2 linked regions of the Notamacropus eugenii genome follow. The protein of the gene in region 2 interacts with the protein of the main gene of each other region in a biochemical or structural test. Links are inferred from orthologs where the notes say so. Each region holds a gene or a part of one and is shown on either strand. Other genes may lie near its edges.

The links. The genes of interacting proteins can lie anywhere in the genome.
Region 1: the proteins of RNH1 (region 2) and ANG are reported together in a solved structure, tested with the Homo sapiens proteins (3 studies listed by BioGRID and IntAct, with this or other methods). The link is inferred for Notamacropus eugenii from reciprocal best matches to the Homo sapiens genes RNH1 and ANG.

The regions. Positions count from the first base shown.
Region 1 is NC_092878.1:13,450,901-13,461,173, forward strand, and holds the start of ANG (angiogenin), read right to left. Parts: upstream 4,911-10,273; 5' UTR 4,820-4,910; intron 188-4,819; exon of another isoform or gene 93-187; intron 1-92. UniProt on the Homo sapiens protein: Secreted ribonuclease that can either promote or restrict cell proliferation of target cells, depending on the context. Endocytosed in target cells via its receptor PLXNB2 and translocates to the cytoplasm or nucleus.
Region 2 is NC_092873.1:27,883,190-27,893,890, reverse strand, and holds the start of RNH1 (ribonuclease inhibitor), read right to left. Parts: upstream 5,232-10,701; 5' UTR 5,217-5,231; coding exon 5,012-5,216; intron 3,918-5,011; exon of another isoform or gene 3,783-3,917; intron 1-3,782. UniProt on the Homo sapiens protein: Ribonuclease inhibitor which inhibits RNASE1, RNASE2 and angiogenin (ANG). May play a role in redox homeostasis. Required to inhibit the cytotoxic tRNA ribonuclease activity of ANG in the cytoplasm in absence of stress.

The sequences.
Region 1 (10,273 bases), on a different chromosome or scaffold from region 2:
TGAGAAATAGAACTGTTTGGTATCCAGCAAATACCAACTGTTTTGTTAATAGTTTGGCCTTCAGATATTAAAATTTGGGATGGAATACTTACCATCTACTAGGGAGAGTTCTCTGCCTGAAAGACACAAATTCCTCAGGAGGAAGAGAAATCTAAAGAAAAGACTAAAGTTTCAAGCCTTAGTCAACTGGGAGGATCATGCTCTTTGGTCTAAACTCCAAAGAGATTGGTACCTGAACTAGTTATCTCCTGCAAGAGAAATGAGAGGCTTGTTACATGTCCTAGGGCAAAGGTTTTCTACCTTTTCTAAAAGAACTGGAAAAGTCTACTAGCTGACAGAGCAAGTTTTCCCTGAAGATAAGGACTGCATAGTCAAACAGAATCTGGGATGGACTTCATAGCCAGCTTATAACCAGTATTTGGTGGAAACTATGAAATTAGTCATGAGCAGACCTAATAGAAACAGTATGAACACAAAGGCCTTCCAACAGCTCTAAAGAATGAGTTCCTCCTCCATATGTATGCCCTGGACATTGTTGACCTGAGAACTTGGTTAAAGAAAAGGCACAGGCTAAATGCATACATTTTATGATTTAATTAATTAAACAAATCCCCATAAAGATAACAGTTGCATAGCACTACAGAGACAGGATCAAATCTGGCTGGCTGGTACAGAAATCTTCTGGCTTATACACATTTTACAGTGAGAAAGGAACTCTCTTAGTTGGAAAAATTGTAAATTTAGTAAGACAAGACAATTAACAAAGCAATGTCAGTAGGGTTTAGTGACTCCAGGCTGTGTAAACATATGTGTCTGTGACATACAATAAGAAGAAAATCCCGCCACTCTAGTGGCAGGCTTCCTGTCCTAAACAGGTACTCAAAATAGCTGACACAGGAAAGGGTAAACAAAGTTTCAATTGAAATTACAACCCAGGACATCTGTGGGGTTTTTTTTATCACTAAAATGCCAGGAGAAAGGGTCTCCTAAGGGAATTATTAAGTCAGTCCCTTTGCTTCCCTGACACCAAAAGGCCATTAGGTTCAGACTCTTCTTAATTCAAGCTTTAGCCCTTATTAAAGTCCAAAATTTATGTTAAATATTATCAACACACACTTTCTCTATTTGTGTGACTTGCCTATATGTATTCTCAACATGCCTGCTTCTCCATGGGTATTCCCTGCTGATGCGGTATTTGTGATGAAATATGCCCCAGATTTATGAGGGAATGTTTTGTTAAGTACTTTTCTTTCTTTTTACCATTCCACTTGACTTTAAAATTGTCTTTACTTTAAACTAATCAAGATTTTTGGCTGACTATTAAAGTTGAACAAACCACAATGGACAGCCTTCTACTATGGGATTACCCTACATGATGGAAGGTGACCCCAGGTGATGCATTTAGATGTTTCAGGTTTTTGAGGTTTTCGTTAGATGTGATGACATCCTACTGACTTTCTCCCATCCAATTCATCAAAGAAAAAAAAACAAAAAACCACCAGTTAATCTTCTTCAAGAGCAAATATATTCATACCATGTCACTACCAGAAAATCTTCAATGGCAACCCCATTGCTCTTAGGGAAAAAATAGCCCGTTCTTTACCTGGCATTCAAGGCTCTCTACAGTTGGTCTCCAATCTGCCTTTCTAGTCTTATGTCAAATTACTTTTGATTCATATTTGTGTTTATGTTTCAGCTATACTGGAGTGCTCAATTTCCTCTTAGGTTGCTCTGCATTATCAATACTACTATTATTATTTTTTCATATTATTTTTTTCATCCCAAGTGACTAGCACAGTGATTTGAAGATGTAAGGTAGTTATAAAGGGGTTTTTTTTTTTTGAGTGAAGGCATGTTTGCTATCAGATTGAACAAAGAATAAACTGACAGTCAAGCAACATTCTCATACCATCTTGCCTAGACAGTAGAAGGGAAAATAAACGCAACTAACAACTACTGGGAAACACTTTCTTCATGTAGGCAAAGGTACCCTGGGTGCTCAGATAAGTTCAGTTTTGAATAGCTTCCATACAGGCATACATCAGAGATATTGTGGAGTTCAGTTCCAGACTACTGCAATAAAATGATTATCGCAATACAATGAGTAACATGAATTTTTTTCATTTCCCAGTGCATATAAAAGTTATGTTTATACTATACTATAGTCTATTAAGTATGCAGAAGTATTATGTCTAAAAAATGCACATACTTTTAAAAACGCTTTATTGTTTAAAAAATGCTAGCCATTCAATGAGTTGTAATCTTTTTGTTGGTGGAGGGTCTTGCCTCCATGTTGTGGCTGCTGACTGATTGGGGGAAGGTTCAAGGGGCTGTAGCAAATTTTTAAAAATAAGACAGCAATGAAATTCGCTGTGTCCATTTGGCTCTTCCTCTGGTTTAACCACTCAGAAGCCGTTGCAGGGGTAGTAATTGGCCGACTTTCAATATTGTTGTGTCTCAAGGAAATAGAGAAGCCCAAGGACAGGGAGATAAACAAAAGTGAGTCAGTGAAACAGTCAGAACACACTCAACATTTATTAAGTTCACCATCTTATATGGGCATGATTTGTGGCACCCCACAATAATTATAATAGTAGCAACAAAGATCACTGATCAGAGATCACCATAACAGATATAATAAGAATGAAAAAGTTTAAAATGATGTGAGAATTACCAAAATGTGACAAGGGACACTGTGTGAGTACATGCTATTGGACAAATTGTACTGAGAGACTTGTTTGACATGGGCTTGCCATAAAGCTTCAATTTGTTTTTAAAAAAAGAAAAGAAAAAGAAAATGAGAAAAATAGAATTCAATAGAACATCTTCAAAGAACAATAAAGCAAAGTGCAATAAAATGAAGTAGAACTATACTTTTAAAAATACCTGAGCTCTAAAAAAGATGTCAAGCAATGATCTCCTAGGATAAACAGAAAACAAATAGTTACCACTTCTGTCTTAGTAGCAGTGACTGAAACAATCCAAATAGCTAGCCTGGAAATACTTAACCAATACATTCCTTGCCTAATATGAATGTCAAAATGCGGAGGACACCACAGGAATGTGAGCTCAGATGTGCTCTAGAATTGCACGCGCACACACACACACACACACACACACACACACACACGCACACACACACACACATCCTCTGGACAGAAGCACCAACCAGCCGAACCATGAACATTCAGGGCTTCCAATCTGATAATTCTACTGTGACTCCCTACATATCCTGCTTACTTGTCCCTTCCCTCTCTCTGCTGCCACATACCCTGCAAACCACTCTGAGCAACTTATCTCGCACAGGGATTAGAACTTGCATGTACTTTTGCCAATGGAAAAATATCATTGGGGGAATTTCTTGGAAAAGCAACAGATGTGCTCTGCATGTTTCCTGTGGTGATGTTCAGGAATCTTGTTGACTAAAGGAGAATGGGGCCAAAGTCTTGTTTACACACTTATTTTTCTCTATTTGGAAATAGAGACAGGGATTAAATATTCACTCCTCTGCAAACTCTGAGACAAGCATCTAGAATTGAGGTTGTTTGCATATGTAATTGTCTATACAGATTATTCTTTTCAAGACACTTTTCAAATTCAATATTCAACAATGAGTTTCAATCCTCCACCAGTAAACTCCTCCAAGTACTTATAAGTTATTCTTCTACATAAACATGGCAATTCTTAACCCATTTCATTATAACCATTGTTCTCCTTCACATACTCCAATCACAATTGCTATTTGTGGCCAGATCTGTCCTTTCCTTCCCTCCTACAGTGATTTGGGAAAGGCCTCCCTCCAAATATCAATCTATTTTGCTTTGTTTTTAAGGTTCACCTCAGGCACCAGCTCCTTCATATTCCTGGTTCCTCCTCCCAATTCTTTTGCATTCAATTCATATTTTAATAAATGCTTCTTTTGTAGTATATGGGAAGAAGGAGACAGCAATAAGTAGTTGCATTAGGGACCACTTTTTCAACATTAACTGTATACTCTAACTGTAATATCTGCTAAGTAAACATTATATAGCTTATCTTGATGACCAGTCCCAAGTCAGAGTTGCAGATTCCCCTGAAATTCTAATAGGAAGTCTAAGAAACATGTCCATCAGAAATTCCTTTCTTGGGGTCCAGGTATATGCCACTGCAGAAAACACAGTTTTTTAAAACACATATTTTACTTAGGATAAGGGAAAGGGGGGCCATGACCTTTAAACCTCAAAAAGTGGACCCAGACACTAAGCAGAAAAAGAAAGCAAGTTAACTTCAACTTTAAAGGAAGACTGATATGTCCAGCACACTGCCTCCTTACACATTTGCCTTAACTGATCAAATAAGAGTCTGGGTGCCCTTGTTGAGGAATAGCTAAGCATACATATATGAATGTAATGAGGTTGTGTTGCACCCTTAGAAAGAGCTAACATCAACAAGTCAGACAAACTTGGGAAAACTAGCATCAACTGAGCCAGGGTCCAAGTAAACAAAACAATATACATGATGACACAATAACACAGGGAAAACAACACTGAACAACTTCACCAAACGTGCAGTGGGTCAATGGTTGGGTCTTTCAGAGGACTGAGAGTGAAGCATGCCTCTTGCCTCTCAGAAGAGAGAAGGTGGACTATAGATTGTCGGACTTATACAAAATGTTGAATTGTTTTGCTTAGCTGAAATTCTTGGGGTTTGGGGGATCATTTGACTCTGAACTTTTTTTTTAAGGAAAGACAGAGTGAGTCCAGGACTGGAAGTCAAAGACTTTTGTATCCCTCCCTACCCTTTCCCCAAAAAACCAAAATAACAATAAAAAGTAACTCACCGTGTTTTGAGCAACAGTCCTGTTTCCTCCTTCAGTAATGCGGAAGGAGAAGGATGATCTCTTAATAAGGTTTCCTTTTAGGAATGAAAATCTATGAAATGAAAACGGGAGAGGAAAAATTAGCTAAAGTTAACAGATTTATTCTATCACCAGGCGCTCGTTCGTGATAAAAAACCCAAAGTAATGGGAATTTATTGGGCTCTTACTGTGATGAGGTGGCTACAGTGCTAGACTCAGAGTGCGGAAAGATGGCCAAGATAATACAAACAAGTACAATCCCAGAAAGACAAGTTATGTATGAAATGTGGTCTTTGGGGCTCTGCTCATTGGCCAATAGAAGAGTCAGTAAGAGCTAAAGAAAAAGAGGAATGAAAGGAGAAAAGGGGGAGGGTATTAGGAGAGGAAAGGGAAAAGTTGTGGGCGTTGGTGTTGTGTGTAACTGTTCTGTATGCACGTTGGTGTGTGATGTGTACGTGTACATGTTAGTGTGTCTGTGTCTGCTGTATTACGTGATGTGTGGATATGTTTGAGAGTCAACATGTGATGCAGGGGTCCTCTGTTAAACTTGCTCGGAACTAAAGGGATCATTACTGTCCTCTCAGCCTGGGGATGGGTCCTCTTTCCCAGCCTAACACTTGGAAACTCTGGTGGGTGTAGCAGGGTGCGTCCCAAGGTGGGAGTGGCTCTGGTGCAATTCTGAGGCATTGCTTTGGGCCTAGGCGCCCCCGATCAGCGAAATGGGAACCACTGTCGGAATTCGGAAGCTCTTTCCTGGAGTACCTCCAGGGGGCAGCAAAGGGCTGGAAAAATTGAATGCAGGGGTGGAGAGGAGCTGTTACTCCAATGGGGTAGAAACAGCTGGCTTGCACGCATTAAGTAGGGAGGGCGGGGGAGAGAGGTGGACGGGGGACCTTGAAATAGAGTCAGCTTGGTCTAATGTAGATGTCCCCAATACTTTCCCCTTTGCTCTCACTAATATCTCTGTTTAACTCTGTTTCCTTTTAGCAGGGAGGACTGAAGTACAAGAAAAGTTTTAATATATTTCCTTATGTATAGAGAGGGGGAAAAAAGTACGGGCTCGTCCGGGATTTGAACCCGGGACCTCTCGCACCCAAAGCGAGAATCATACCCCTAGACCAACGAGCCCCATACTGGATCGGGTGGTTAAACTCCTTGTCTGTCACATATGAATGCATTTTGTTTCTGGTTTGGAATACATCATGTGGTTATCTTTCTTTCGTCCTCTTTCTCTTCTCATCTACTATTTATCCTGCCATGACATCACTTACCCCTTCCCTGTATTCATTTCCCTTCCCTACCTGCGCCCAAACCCATACTAATAGATTGATTCCACTTTTAACTTTGTCCAACAGAAGTTGTAGTCAGAGGGATCTTGACTAGTACTAAGAGACAAAAGGGAAACTGAGGGATAGGGAGGGAACTAAGAACTTAATTTCTGCCGCGCGGGAGTAAATCTGTCTGGAATTGAGGGACCAATTAACTAGACAGAGACTTACGTCTGGCCTTTCCCCCAGGGAAAGGGGCACACTAGTCTTTGCGCTTTCTTTGTAGCAAGACAGAAAAGCTCCCAGAGGCATTTGCCAACCCTCGCGACTGAGAAATCATCGCCCTTAGCTTAGTGAACTAGTCAGGGAAAGAAGGAAACTTCCTTGCAAGTAGTAGGAGTAGTTTAAATAGATATTTAATTGGATTTAAACATTCGAAAAAAGCCCACCAAAATGAACTATTTCATGACTCCCTTAGCATGTGCTCTTTTGCAACCTCTACTTTTGCTCTGGTAGTTCCCCCTGCCCAGAAGTGCTTTAGTCCCACTTATCTATGCCCCCTAAATCTTGCCCATCTCTCAAAGAGAAGGTCAAACATCGCCTTTTCCCAGAAGCCCTTCTTGTTCTCCAGCAGAATGTGATTTTACCCTGCTCGGAACCCTTAAAACACTGTTACTATCTTTATTGTGTATGACTTTTTAAGATTCACTGAATCCACTGAAAGGATTTGAGGTCATCTTGTCCAACACCCTGCCTGATACATGAATCCATTCTGTAATCTCCCCGATAAATGGTCACCCAAGATCTGCTTGAACACCCTGCAAAGTAAGTCTAATTGTCTTTCATTTAAAAGGCCTTCACAAATCTCTTCTCTAGTCTAAATCAGAGAGAACACATTCAGGGTTAGCCCTAGCCCTAACCCTAACCCTAACCTTAACCCTAGGGACTTAAGTTACTACAGTTTACATACCCTGACCTCTTTTATTTTGTATCCTCCTTGACAGAAACAATGATCACCTTATTCACTACTGTATTCCCCCACAGTGTCTTGTTCCATAGTATTTGTTAAATGAATAAACCTTTAAAAAGTATGTAAAAATGAATCTGGTTCAAATAGCTTATGAACTCCACAGAAGATCATAAAGTCTCACTGAAATGTCAACCGTAAATTTGCTATAGTGTCCTCCTTCGATAGCTCAGCTGGTAGAGCGGAGGACTGTAGAGTTTGCCTGTAGGGATCCTTAGGTCGCTGGTTCGATTCCGGCTCGAAGGAGATGAGTTTTTGCTTTTCCTAGCACCCAGTATTTTCTGTATGGTTGTTTGTGTCTGCGAACACGCTTTATTCAACCCATCCCTCGCGTGCCACAGAAAACCCAAGTTTCTTAGTCTTCTTGCCTTCATCGTCAGAATTTGTACAGTATTTAACATTTGCATTATACGAGTCACAGGTTTACTATGAAGAAAACAAAGACCATAGCATTTAAAGTTGGAAAGAAAGAAATTTGGAGGCAGAGTCTAACCCAAGCCCATCATTTTACAAATAAAGAAACTGAGGCCCAGAGAAGTGATATGCCTTACACAACGCCATAATAATAAATGGTAGAAACCAAATATTTTGGATCCAAACCAGTGCTCCTTTCTGTTTTAAGCTTTTAGTAAACTTTAAAGTTATGTGAATAAGAACTATTATATTGAGGTGGTTAAAATAGGCAAACCCATATGTTGGAAGTGAGACAAGCTGAGAGTGACACGTCAATCTCAGGACGAGACCTGGGAGAAAGAGAAAAGATTGACTTGATTTGCTGGGCCTTAGAGGAAAGAGTTAAGCACAGAAGTTTCAGGGAACCGGATTTAGGTTAGATTTAAGGAGAAACTTCTTCAAACTACAGCTGTCCCAATAAGGAATCAGCTGCCTTGCCTGTCTTCCAGTGGAGGCTGTATGTCAATATAACAGGATTACTATAGAGTCCTGATGAGATGCCAATTAAAAAGAAACCTTTTGCAGTAACATCTAAGATTTCTTTTTTTTTTTATCTTTTTTTTTATTTTTATTTTGTAATGTTTAACAATCACTGCCATACAATTGTGATTTTATCCCCCCCACCTACCCCCCACTCCCCCCCTCCCTCCCCACAACTGCATACAATTCTGTATAGATTCTACATATACTTTCCTATTGAGTATATTTTCACTATAGTCATGCTATGTAGTCAGACTAAGATAAATGAAAGAAATCGTATAACAAATCAGAACATGATACACAAACACATACACATACACAAACATGATCTGCTACAATATGTGAGTGACTTCCATATTCCTCTCTCTGAGTGTGGCAGGCATTTTGCCTTGAGATCCTCCATTGGGATTTTTTTTTTTTTTTGGTAAGAAGTTCTTGTGTTATTACAAAAATCTAAGTCTACCAGAAAAAACTCTCACACACTGTGGTTGTTGCTGTGCATAAAGTTCTCCTGGTTCTGCTCCTTTCACTCAGCATCAGGTCATATAAGTCCTTCCAGGCCTCTCTGAAGTCTTCTTGTTCATCATTTCTTATGGCACAATAGTACTCCATTACATTCATATACCATAATTTATTCAGCCATTCCCCAATTGATGGACATCCCCTTGACTTCCAGTTTTTGGCAACTACATAGAGTGCTGCTATAAATATTTTTGTACATGTGGGACCCTTTCCCATTTTTATGATCTCTTGGGGATATAGTCCTAGTAGCGATATTGCTGGGTCAAAGGGTATGCACATTTTTGTAGCCCTTTGGGCATAGTTCCAAATTGCTCTCCAGAATGGTTGGATGCGCTCGCAGCTCCACCAACAATGAATTAGTGTTCCAACTTTCCCACATCCTCTCCAGCATTTATCATTTTCTTGTTCTGTCATGTTTGCCAATCTTATAGGTGTGATGTGGTACCTCAGAGTTGTTTTGATTTGCATCTCTCTAACCAATAGTGATTTAGAGCATTTTTTCATATGATTATAGATAGCCTTAACCTCTTCCTCTGAAAATTGCCTGTTCATATCCTTTGACCATTTATCAATTGGGGAATGACTTGTATGATTAAACATTTGGATCAGTTCTCTATATATTCTAGAAATGAGGCCTTTATCCCCGAGCTTAGCTGTAAAAATTCTTTCCCAATTTACTACATCCCTCCGGATTTTGGTTGCATTGGGTTTGGTTGTGCAAAAACTTCTCAGTTTAATGTAATCAAAGTTATCCATTTTGCATTTCATAATGCATTCTATCTCTCCTTTAGTAAAGAATTCTTCCCTTCTCCATAGATCTGATAAATACACTATTCCTTGCTTCTCCAGTTTATTCATGGTATCAATCTTTATACCTAAATCATGTACCCATTTGGACTTTATTCTTGTGTACGGTGTCAGGTATGGGTCTATGCCTAATTTCCGCCACACTGTTATCCAGTTTTCCCAGCAATTTTTGTCAAACAATGAGTTCTTATCCCAGAAGCTGGGGTCCTTGGGTTTATCAAACAGAAGGTTGCTATATTCCTTGCCTACTGCATCTTGAGTGCCAAGTCTATTCCACTTGTCTACCTCTCTGTTTCTTCGCCAATACCAAGTGGTTTTGATAATTGCTGCTTTATAGTACAGTTTGAGGTCTGGTAGCGCTAGGCCACCTTCCCAAGCATTTCTTTTCATTAGTCCCTTTGATATTCTGGACCTTTTGTTTTTCTAAGATTTCTTAATTCAGAATATGTTACTATTGGTAAGGGGCTGAGAGAGAAGAGGAGAGGGAGTGTTGTAGTGGGGAAAGGGAAAATATAGAGGAGAGACATGTTTGAGGTTCTAGGACAGTGTTCCTTACGTGAATTCCGGGTCAAAACAGAAACTGAAGGTCTGTATTATTACTGGAAGTTTAAAAAAAAAATCCAAGTAAGAATAGTTTGTTGCCCGGTATTTTGAAGGTTCAGATCAAATAATTGCCCCGAGAATTTATCGATCTACTACTAGAAAGAACTCAGGAGTTTTGGTTTTCTTTTAAAGCCCAAGACTGGGGAGAGTAGTCCAGAACAGGTACACAGTTATTGAATGCCAATCTTTGGGTGTGTCTAAAACGGTAGCACCTCCTTCGAGCCGGAATCGAACCAGCGACCTAAGGATTTCCACAGATTATACAAACTACAGTCC
Region 2 (10,701 bases):
CCCAGGTCAATATAACCAACACGCCAATTCCATCCAAATTTACTTATTCAGTGCCACACCAAACTACCCAAAAAATCCTAACAAAATTCATCTGGAGAACAAAGGGTCAAGGATATCAGGGGAATCACGGGAAAAACCCCGTGAAAGGTGGTCTAGCCACACCAGATCTCAAGTTGTATTACAGGGCAGTGGAGGGAGATTGGACACAATTAGATTAACAAGCCTTTACGGATTTGGGCTCCATACATTTTCCTCCAGAAAAGGCCGGCAGACTCCAAAGGGTAACAGTGAGGCGACTCCTGCCCTCCCCCATACAATGGGACCCTCCTTCAGGGATTATGAGATTTGTCCTGGCTCACTTCATTAAAGTCTGGAGTGACCAGATGTACAAAGGAGACAAGGAGCAAGGAAAAACCCGGATGGAAAAGGGCTTCCAATTACTCAGAGGCCACACCTGAGAGCCAGCCAGCAGCCTTCTCGACTCCAAGACAGAGAAGAGCTCAGAACCCAAAGCTGACCACCCATGGGGATGGCCAGGGGAGGAGGTCCCACTGATGTATAGCAGGCCCACTATGGGCCAGTTCTCACTTCGGGGCTTTGGCACAAATATGACCCTGTCCCACATTAAGATATCCTGGACCCCTATCAGTAAATGATATGACACTCAGAGAAAAGACCTCCCCCCAGGCCATAGTGGTCACCAAAGCAATCTGGTACTGGCTAAGAAAAGCGGGATGGCTTGGGTGCCGGATACATTAAGTAATCTGTTGCTGCCTCTTTGTGTCCCCTGGGGGGGTTGTCTGGGCAAAGATACTGGAGGGATTTGCCATTTCGTTCTCCAGCCCAATTTACAGATAAGTAAACTGAGGCACACAAGGTGAAGTGACTTGCTCAGGGTCACATGGCTAGGAAGTGTCTGAGGCCACATTTGAACTCGGGTCTTCCTGACTCCAAGTCCAGCATTCTACTCACCATGCCACCTAGATGTCCATGGTAATCTAGTGTTTGATAAAAACCAAAGATCCCCATTTGGGGGCAAAATGCACTACTTGACAAAAAAATTGCTGGGAAAACTGGAAAGCAGTTTATCAGAAACAGGCACAGACCAACATCTCACATCATATACCGAGCTAAGCTCAAAAAGAGTGAGCAATTTAGGGAAGCGAGGAAAGTTAACCAATCAGATCTATGGATCAGATCTAGGGATAGCTCTGAACCAACAAGACATGAGAGCATTACAAGAAGCCAAACAGGAAAGGGGCAGCTGAGCCCCCCAGTCCAGCCATCTTCTCTCCCTTTCCCACCAGATGGAACCAAAAGGTGACCCAACAAGAATGGTGCCTTCCCTTAGTCTTGTCCCCAGTCCCTTCAGACAGAGTCATGTCAAAGCTCCCTCCCCACTGCCTGGGGATCTGGGCCATGGCCCCCGAGAGGGGAGAAGTGCCCACAGCTTCAGGGTCAGCAGATGGACAAGAAATGGCCTGGGGGAAATCCAGGCACAGATCAAGGCAGCCCATTGCCCTGGCTGGCCTTCTACTGTAGAGATTACAGGTCCCACAAAGCAGGTGTCAGGGGCATTGGGGTCACCTGCTCTCTGTGCCCTCTCCCTTCTAGGTTTCCCTCTTGTTCCTTCCCCCTGGCTAGGGCTGCCTCAAGTGTTTACTATCCCTCTTGAAAGCTAGAGAACTGGGGCAGCAGAAGACCCAGTCAGAGAGTACCCAGGGCCTGCCCAGGTGGTAACCAATGACCTCTAACGGGCCCTGACCCTGGCCTTCCCTCAGGATCCAGTCAGCAGTCAAGTTCTCCCTCCACAGCCCTCCCACCTCTCTCCTCATAGATGCCCCTCTGTTCAAGAAACACTGGGCAACAAATCCCAACCCCGCTCCAGAGACAGGCCTTCCAATGATGGGGTGATGAGACCCCTGAAAAGAAAAGATACAGCCCAATTCTGGAATTTTCCCACATATTCCAGCAGCCCAGACAACTGGCCCATCCCAGACCACACTCCTCAATCCCAGCTAGATCCTTTCCCATTTGTACATAAGTATCAGTTTCAACTCCATCAAGCTGCAGGTCCCCAGCTTTATGGACCTTACAATAAACCAGGGGTGGGGAGCCTTTGGCCCTGAGGCCATATGTGGCCTTCTAGGTCCTCAAGTGCATCCCTCTGACTGAATCCAAACTTCACAGAACTCCCCTTCGTAAAAGGATTTGTTCTGTAAAATCTGGACTTGGCTGTATCCCAAAGAGATTATAAAAATGGGAAAGGGACCCATGTATATAAAACTACTTATGGCCAAGAACTGGAAATCGAGGGGATCCATTGGGGAATGGCTGAGCTGGTTGTAGACAATTGTGATGGAGTACTACTGTGCTGCGGGAAATGATGAGCAGGCAGACTTCAGAAAAACCTGGAGAGACTTAGATGAACTGATGCGGAGAGAAGTGAGCAGAACCGGGAGAGCACTGCACACAGTAACAGCCACATTACATGATGGCCAACTTTGATGGACTTATCTCTTCTTAGCAAAGCAAGGATCTAAGACAACTCCAAAAGACTCAGGATGGAAAATGCATTCACACCCACAGAAAGAACTGGGGAGTCAGAACACACAGAGTATAAATGCTCTTTTGGTTTTGTTTCTTTCTCATGATTCCTCCCCCGATTGGTTCTAATTCTTTACATGACTAATGTGAAAATGTTTAATATGAATGTACGTGTACAGCCTGTATCAGACTACATGCCATTTTAGGGAAGGGGAGGAGAGAAAATTTAGAACTCAAAATCTTACGGAAGTGAATCTCAAAACTAAAAACAAACAAATCAATTTTTTAAAAAGTCAAGGAAAAACTCAGACCCAGTCAAAAGGCCACACCCAAGGACCTAGAAGGCCACACGTGGCCTCAAGGCGCAGGTTCACCACCCTGGCAAACCTTGTCACTTGAGTACAAGGTTTGAGTGCGTGCATTCATTCATTCCAGGCCCCATGAAATTGGTCCCAGGTGACACCGCCCTGTGCCCTGACATTTAGGGTTCCCAGCAACCCAAACTATGTCACCTTCATGCATCTACATTCCTGCCAAATGGGCCTCCAGTACCCATCCGCCCCCAAGCCTTTGTACTGGCTCTCCGTGAGGCCTGGCATATGGTCCCTCCTCCCTCCAACAGGAAGCCTCTCCCCCTCTTAGCTCCCCCTCTCCTTCCCCAGTGAGCATCCTGCCTATAAACCCTCTGAGGGCAGGGGCTGCCCAGCATCTGACAGAACGCTTGGTCAGCAGCAGGCAGCTGGCCAATGTCTTAGGAGTCAGACGGACAGACTGGGGGCTGGGCTGCCACCTGGGAGCTTTCCCAGCTCTGGCCTCTCCCAGGCCCCAGAGCAGGCAAGCACTAGTCTGGCTGGGCCTGGGACCAAAGGGCCACCATTCCACCACTCCCGTGGGCCTCAACAGCATGGTGAATGCTAGGGAACCCCTCCTCCCTTCCTTCCTCTTTCAGCCCCATCCCCTAAAAAGACCTACATCATCGGTCTTCCTGGGACACCCATCGGCTAGGACTGTCACTCCTGAAACTCTCCGGGCTTGATGTTCAAGGCCTTCCTTCCCCGTCCTAACAACAGCTGACCTGTGAAGCCTGGCTCGGCAGCGTCTGGGGACTGCCCCACACTCTCCTCCCCTCCCCTCCCCCAACAGCTGGAAGCAGATCTGGAGCTGTCCCACTCACAGCATCCTTCTTCTGGGCCAGAGCTGCCCAGGGCCAGAGAACCTGGCCAGACTCTGCTTACCTGGGGCTGGAAAGAGGGGGGTCTGCAGAGGTCGGGGGAGACCCAGGGAGCCAGGCAGCAGCAGCAGCAGCTACACACACCAGGCCAGAGACCTGACTCATGTCCCATGACTCAGACTGCCCGCCCATGGCTCCTCCCCCAGGCCCCACCCAGGCTCTCCCAGCCTCCTGGGACCTCCACCCCGGCCCTCAAGGAGGCCAGCCCCATGCTGGATGCAGAGCTGAGCCCCTAGACCCTCCCGGGGAGGACGGGAGAGCAGGGAAGGGGGAGGGGGGGAAAGAGGGGGAGGGGGAAAGGAAAGGAGATGGGGAAGAAGGGAGCCTGGCTGCATAACTGGGGACAGGGGGAATGTCCTGGGCCTGCCCTTCCACCCTGGACAGTGGGGTTCAGCGGGGCTAGGAAAGCTGGAATCTTCTCCACCAATCATTCCATGGGGTGAGGTTTCTAAGGGTTGCTAACAAGATCCCTGCTTAGATCTGGAAGGAAAAAGCCCAGAATTGAGATCTGGTCTCAAATACTAGCCAGCTTCATTCAGTGAAAAGCTTAAATTCTGCTCCAGTTTCCTCAGCCAAGGAGCAGGACCGAGTCTCCAAAGAGACCAACCTGAACATGTCAGACAAGGGCTGGTTCTGATTACACGGTTCCTGTGGGCCTCAGACGGCCCAGTCTTGTTTTACTAGGGGGAAGATGGGCTGGGAGGCGCAGCGATCCCCAGGGGGTCTCCACTTTCTCAGAAAGCCCAGGAGGCCACAGCTATCTCCAAGGGCCTGGGGCCTGCCAGCCTTCCAGGACCACCCCATGTGCGCCTGAGAAGTGGAGGGCAAGCAGCTGGCAGGCCCCGGCACAGGCCAGTAGTTCCTTAGCTGGGTAAGCCTGGACCAGTCACTCTGCTGGTGCCTGCCTCTGTTTCCCCGTCTGTAAATTAGCTGCAACAGCATCTCCATCTCAGGGGTGCTGGGACTGGGTAAAGTGCCAGACCAGTGCCTGGCACCTTGGAGGCACCTGATCCATGTCTGTTCACAGACCAAGGGTTCCCCCCAGATGCTGCCCAGTATGCTCTTTGACCTCCGGACTGATCCCCTACTACCCAGCCGGCCCCCGCTTCTTCATCCACTGGCCCCGCGGCCCCCCTGCGGTGCGGGCCCCGCGGCCCCCCTGCGGTGCGGGCCCCGCGGCCCCCCTGCGGTGCGGGCCCCGCGGCCCCCCTGCGGTGCGGGCCGCGCTCTCACCAGCTTCCCGGAGCGCGGAGCCCCCGCTGAGGGGCCACCGAGGGGGGCCGACCGCTGCCGCAAGCACCCATCGGGGGACCCCGTGGCCCGTGCGCGGCGGGGGTGGGCAGCCCGGCCCGGGGGCTCCCCACCTCGGCCAGCGTAGCCGCCTCCGCCCCAGCATGGGCCCCTCCCGCCCCGCCCCCGCTTCCGCCGCCCCGAGCATGCGCTCTGCGTGGAGGGCGGTGCCGGACACGCGGGCGAGGCCCCGCCCCCGCAGCGAGTCGGGGGGCGTGGGGGAGGGGGAGGGAAGGGCGCGCCCTCCCCCTCCGTCGTCCCCCAGGGTCCTGGAGCCGGGTCCGAGGCCCCAGGCGGTCAGGCGGGGCAGGGCCCGGCAGACTCACCAGCGCCTCGCTCTTTCCTCCCTCCCTCCGGGCCGGGCCAAGGGTCCTGCGGCGGCGGCGGCTGCGCAGCGTCGGAAGAGGCCGAAGGCCCTTTGGGGGGGGGGGGGGGCCGTTAGCCAAGCCACAGGGGCGGGGCTTGTCGGGGCGGGGCCACGGGGCGGGGCCTCAGGGGCGGGGTCAGAGCTGTCTGCCCGGGATCTCGAGATGCGCGCGCAGCCTTCGCCTCTCGGTGCGTAAGCTTGGTTACTGCGTGCGCCCCCCCGAGGCCGCGCGGCTCCCAGGGTCTTGGACGCTGGAGGGCCTTGGCCCCGCTGCCCACCGGGCACGGTTCAGGCAGCGAACGTTTCGATCCCTCCGGTCGTGTGCCGGCCTTTTCCCGTCCCTCCCGGATGCTCGCTGCAGCCTGGCCGCTCCTTCAGCTTTTCGGGGTTCCTCCTCGGGAGCCCCAGCCCCTGCCTGGGGGAACCCCGTTAGCTTCTCCAGCCCCAGCCCCCATCACCGCTGGGCTCTTTCCTCTCCGCCCGGAGCTGGCCAGCCAGCGTCTCTGCGCTCACATCCCGCCACTCGGCTTCTGCCCCAAGGGCCCCCCAGAGATCTGGAAATCCCCATCGTGCCTCCCCGCCGTCCCCGGCCACGCCCTCCGGCTCTCACCTCCCCGTCTTTGCACAGGCTGCCTCCCGCCAGGCCTGCCTCCCTGAATCCCGGGCGCCCCTGCCCCCAGCTGCCAGGGCTCCGCTGCCAGGACCGTATCCAGAGCACGGACGGGAGCCTGTCCTTGCACCACCAGGCTTTGCCTTCATCCCGGGCACTGTCTACACTTCCATCTGGGGAATGGGCCCAGTCCTTGCCCTTCCCCCTCCCCGGGCTGGGCGGGTTCCATAAATGGCTCTGCCCACCAAGACCGCAGGCCTTCGGGTGGCCCCGAGGCTGAACTCCAACTCCCAGCGGGCCTCGGGAAGTCGAGCCATTGCGCAGGCGCCAGGACCTCGGTCCTTCCCGTCTGCCTCCACTGGGTGGCGCTGCTGCTCCGCTGGGGGCGGGGCGGGGCAGGGAGGAAGGGAGGGGGAGGGGCAGAGAGGAGGGAGGAAGGGAGAGCGAAATGGGGGCGAGAGCGGGGAGGAAGGGGGCGGGAAGGGTTGTGCCCCGCCCACAGGCCGGAGCGGGAGGGGGGCCAAGGCGGGGGCCGCCCCGAGCCTTCCCTTCTGTCTCCCCGCGAGCCTCGGGAGCCTGAGCGGCCGCGGCCGCCTCCGCCTGGGCTGCTGCAGGTAAGGGAGCCTCCGGCCCCGGGAGAAGGGATGGGGGGTGCGCATGGCCGCCCCGCCGGGGGGCAGAGCTGCGGCGGAGCTGGGTGTGACCCTGCGCGCATCGTGGGGGCGCGGGGGGGGGGCAGCACCCTGATGGGGGAAGGTGGGGGGCAGCACCCTGATGGGGGGACGTGGGGGGCAGCACCCTGATGGGGGAAGGTGGGGGGCAGCACCCTGATCAGGGGGGAACGTGGGGGGCAGCACCCTGATGGGGGAAAGTAGGGGGCAGCACCCTGATGGTGGGGACGTGGGGGGCAGCACCCTGATGGGGGAAAGTGGGGGGCAGCACCCTGATGGGGGGACAGCACCCTGATGGGGGGGACGTGGGGGGCAGCACCCTGATGGGGAAAGGTGGGGGGCAGCACCCTGATGGGGGGACAGCACCCTGATGGGGGGAACGTGGGGGGCAGCACCCTGATGGGGGAAAGTGGGGGGCAGCACCCTGATCAGGGGGGAACGTGGGGGGCAGCACCCTGATCAGGGGGGAACGTGGGGGACAGCACCCTGATCGGGGGGGAACGTGGGGGACAGCACCCTGATCAGGGGGGGAATGTGGGGGCAGCACCCTGATCAGGGGGGGAACGTGGGGGGCAGCACCCTGATCAGGGGGGGAATGTGGGGGCAGCACCCTGATCAGGGGGGCAACGTGGGGGGCAGCACCCTGGTCAGGGCCCCACAAGCGAGGGGGGGGGTGTGTGGGGGTGTGTGGGCGGCCTGACAGCTGTCGGCAGAGCTGGGGCAGGGCCAGCCTGATCTGGTACTCAGACTTCACCCCAGGCCCTTATGGGCATCCAGGCAAGGTCCAGGTGCCCCTGGCTTACCATCATTGGGCCATTGGGCCCTGAGGCTTTCTCCAGCAGGGCCAGGCTACCTGGAGGGGCTTCTTCTGCCCAGGGGGAGCCTGGACCTGGACCCCCAGGCCCAGAAGTTTGGGTAAATGGCAAACACTGGTGAAAACCTACCCAGCACCATGCTCTTGTTCTCTTGAGGCTGCCTGCAGCCTGAGTTCTTGTGTGTGCTTGTTAGAGTTACTCTCTCTGCCCCTCAGCGCTGGGCTCCTCATTCATCTGCGGGGAGAAGGGAAGCTGGGACCCTGAACTTGTCAGAGAGAGCATTCCGATAATAGCAAACTGGCTGTGGCTGAGCCAAACACCAGCTACTGAGCTCAGGGACTCATGTGATGTGATGACAGGTGGTTCAGTGGTTAGGGCCTCCAATGGGCCAAGGAGAAGCATCGGAGTTCTTAATCCCTGAGCCACCTCAGAGGAGGTCCATAAAGCACCTACTGTGTGGGTCAGGGTTGGACTCTAGTCCCTGCCCTCACAGAGGCGGTTTAGTGAGAATGCATGGCTTTAGCCGTGAGGAAACAACATGAGACCATGGAAAGGCCTTTTGAGGGTACAATGCTGATACTGGCCTCAAGGGCCTTTGTGGACTCAGCTGTCCTAGGTTGTAAGACCTTGAACAGAGGCTGCTGCACAGCTTGCAGGATGTCCAAGGCGTCGGAAATGCTGCTGTTAACAGCAGAACCATTGACATTAGCCATTAATGGTTCTGGCCTTCACTCACTGGGGGACCTTGAGTTTCCTTATCTGGAAAATGAGAGAATTGTACTAGGTGACCTCCAAGGACCTTTCTAGCTCTGACAGGTTAGAATCCTCTGTGCCTCAGTTTCTCTAGCTGCAATGAAGGTATGCCTTCCTTCTCATTAGCTTGGCCTAGCCCCACAGGGGCTGGTGCCGTGTCTACTCACCTTTAAACCCTGATCCTGCCTGTGTGCCTCAGTTTCCCCATCTAACAGCTAGGGTACCACTGGAGTACATAGTGGTAGGTGATCATTGTAATCCCCCCATTTCTTCCCAGAGGCCAGGCAGTTTGCAGATTCTCAGTATTCAGAGAAGCTGATTCACTGACCCAGTGGGCAGGAATGAAAGTCTGGCCAGGGTTCTTGCCTTCACCGACTGGGTCTGCCCACCATGTGGGCCTCCGCTCTCTGAAGGGCTGGCCAGCCTTGGTCTGCTTGGCCCCAGAAGTCAGGAGCCAGAGCGTCAAAGGAAGGCACAAAGATGCCTTGGGATGGCCCAATGGGGTCAGAGCTGCCTGAGAAGGTGTGGAGTCTTCATCACCAGCTGTCTTCACCTGCACTTCTGGTCCATGCCCTTCAGGCATTCTCCAACAAAGGGCCCTGTTCTCTCAGCCTTCTTAGGCTGCTGGGATGAGGCCTGGGCCTAGCTCTGGCTCTCCCTTCATCCCACCCCCTGCTCCTCAGGGATTTCAAGATTCTTTCCTCCTGGAAGCAGACTCACTGAGGGAGTGACTCATTGGCCAGAATCCCCAGCAGGCCTGGGGCTGGGGCATTGGGCAGCCAGCCCAGGGATGCCAACACTGTGTGCAAATGTCCGAATGTGTGGTGGTGTTGCCTCTATCCCCTCTAAGGGCAGGGGAAGACCAGCCAAGTCCTCCAGGGACAAGATAATGTCCCTGTGTGGAAATGAGGAACGGGAAGGGAGAACAGGCTGCTCCCCAGGAAAGTCAGAGAGCCTGGGTAGGCAGCCAAAGGCAGGGTGAGACCTGGGCTCTGGCCTTCACTAGAAAGTTTTCTGCCCTGTGGGCTGTGTGTGTGTGTGTGTGTGTGTGTGTGTGAGAGAGAGAGAGAGAGAGAGAGAGAGAGAGAGAGTGGGGGTGATGGTTTGAGACAGGCAGTACTTTGGCCTTTGGGACTGGAGGTCTCTTTGAGGGGAGGCTTGGCTGTAGACCTGAGAAAACATGAATCCTCAGGGAGCCGGGAGAAATGACTCAGAAACTTACACATGGAAATTCTGAATTTTTTGCCTTCACTAATACATTAGCGAGGACAAAGGTGTCCAAATACTGAGTCTGCTGGCCACCCCTAATGTCTTTGGGACATGAGCCAGAGATCCCACCAGTGCTATCCTCTTGATGATGGGGTGAGGGACTGGGGCGGGGGGGTGTGAGGCCCAATCCCACACTTATTTGCAATTTGACTTTGGATATGTCCCATCCTATCTTTGGGCCTACGTTTTCCCATCTGTAAAATGGGGGAGAGGTCTCTTCCAGCTATGTTGTTCTAAGAGGCAACTTGGTGGGCTGCTGTAGTGGGGTCCAACAGAGAAAGCCTCCTCTGAAGAGTGCAAAGACAGAGGCACACACAGCCAGAGGACAGTGGATTGCTGCCTGGCTCCCAGGGTTCCTGGTCTGGCTGCTGTTGGCTCTGATATACAGCCCGTATTGGTGGCCCTGACACCAGTCCCTCCACACTGCACTAATTTTATTCTGGCCTCTTTTTCCCGCCCCTGCAGCAAAGCTTGCCTGCCCTGGAAAGAAGCTTAAAGTGGTAGGTGAGGGCAATTTCAGAGGAGAGCTAAGCTCTGGTTTTCTTGCGCCTTGCCTCATTGGCTGGAGACAGCTGCCCCAGTTAATGTGGGTGGTCATGCTCAGAACTCTCTGAGAGAGCCCTAGAGCAGAAGTCTGGCTGTCAGGCCGTTACTCCATGCCTCAGTGATCTCACCTGCTAAGTGGGCATAGTCAGGTTGGCAGAGCAGCCTTCAGACCCTTCCTTGATGGGCCTTGAGGGTCCCCTGGGGAGTGCAGGCATCCCAACGAGGGAGTGGCCAATAGCTCTTGGGGGTGGGGGAGGCGGATGGAGCAGCTTCAGCCTAGCGGTAGAGCTGTGGGCCAGGACGGAAGGCCAGTCACTGGGGCTTGTTGGTAAGTGAGGGCTAGGGCAGGAAGTGGGGGTGGGGGCAGCTTGGTGTGGGAGCTTGGCTGAGAAGGGGAGGAGAGGTGGGAGGTCTGGGGGAGTTTGCGGAAAGGGTAGAGGGGCTCTCTCTGAACCAGCCCATGCAAGATCCTGTGCTAGGGAGGAGAACACAGGCCCTGCCTTAGCTGAGCTTGGGTTGGGGCAGGCCAGTGGCAACAGAGAGAGAGAGAGAGAGAGAGAGCACGCTTTCAAGCAGGAAGCCTGTCCTGAGGGCCGAGGTCT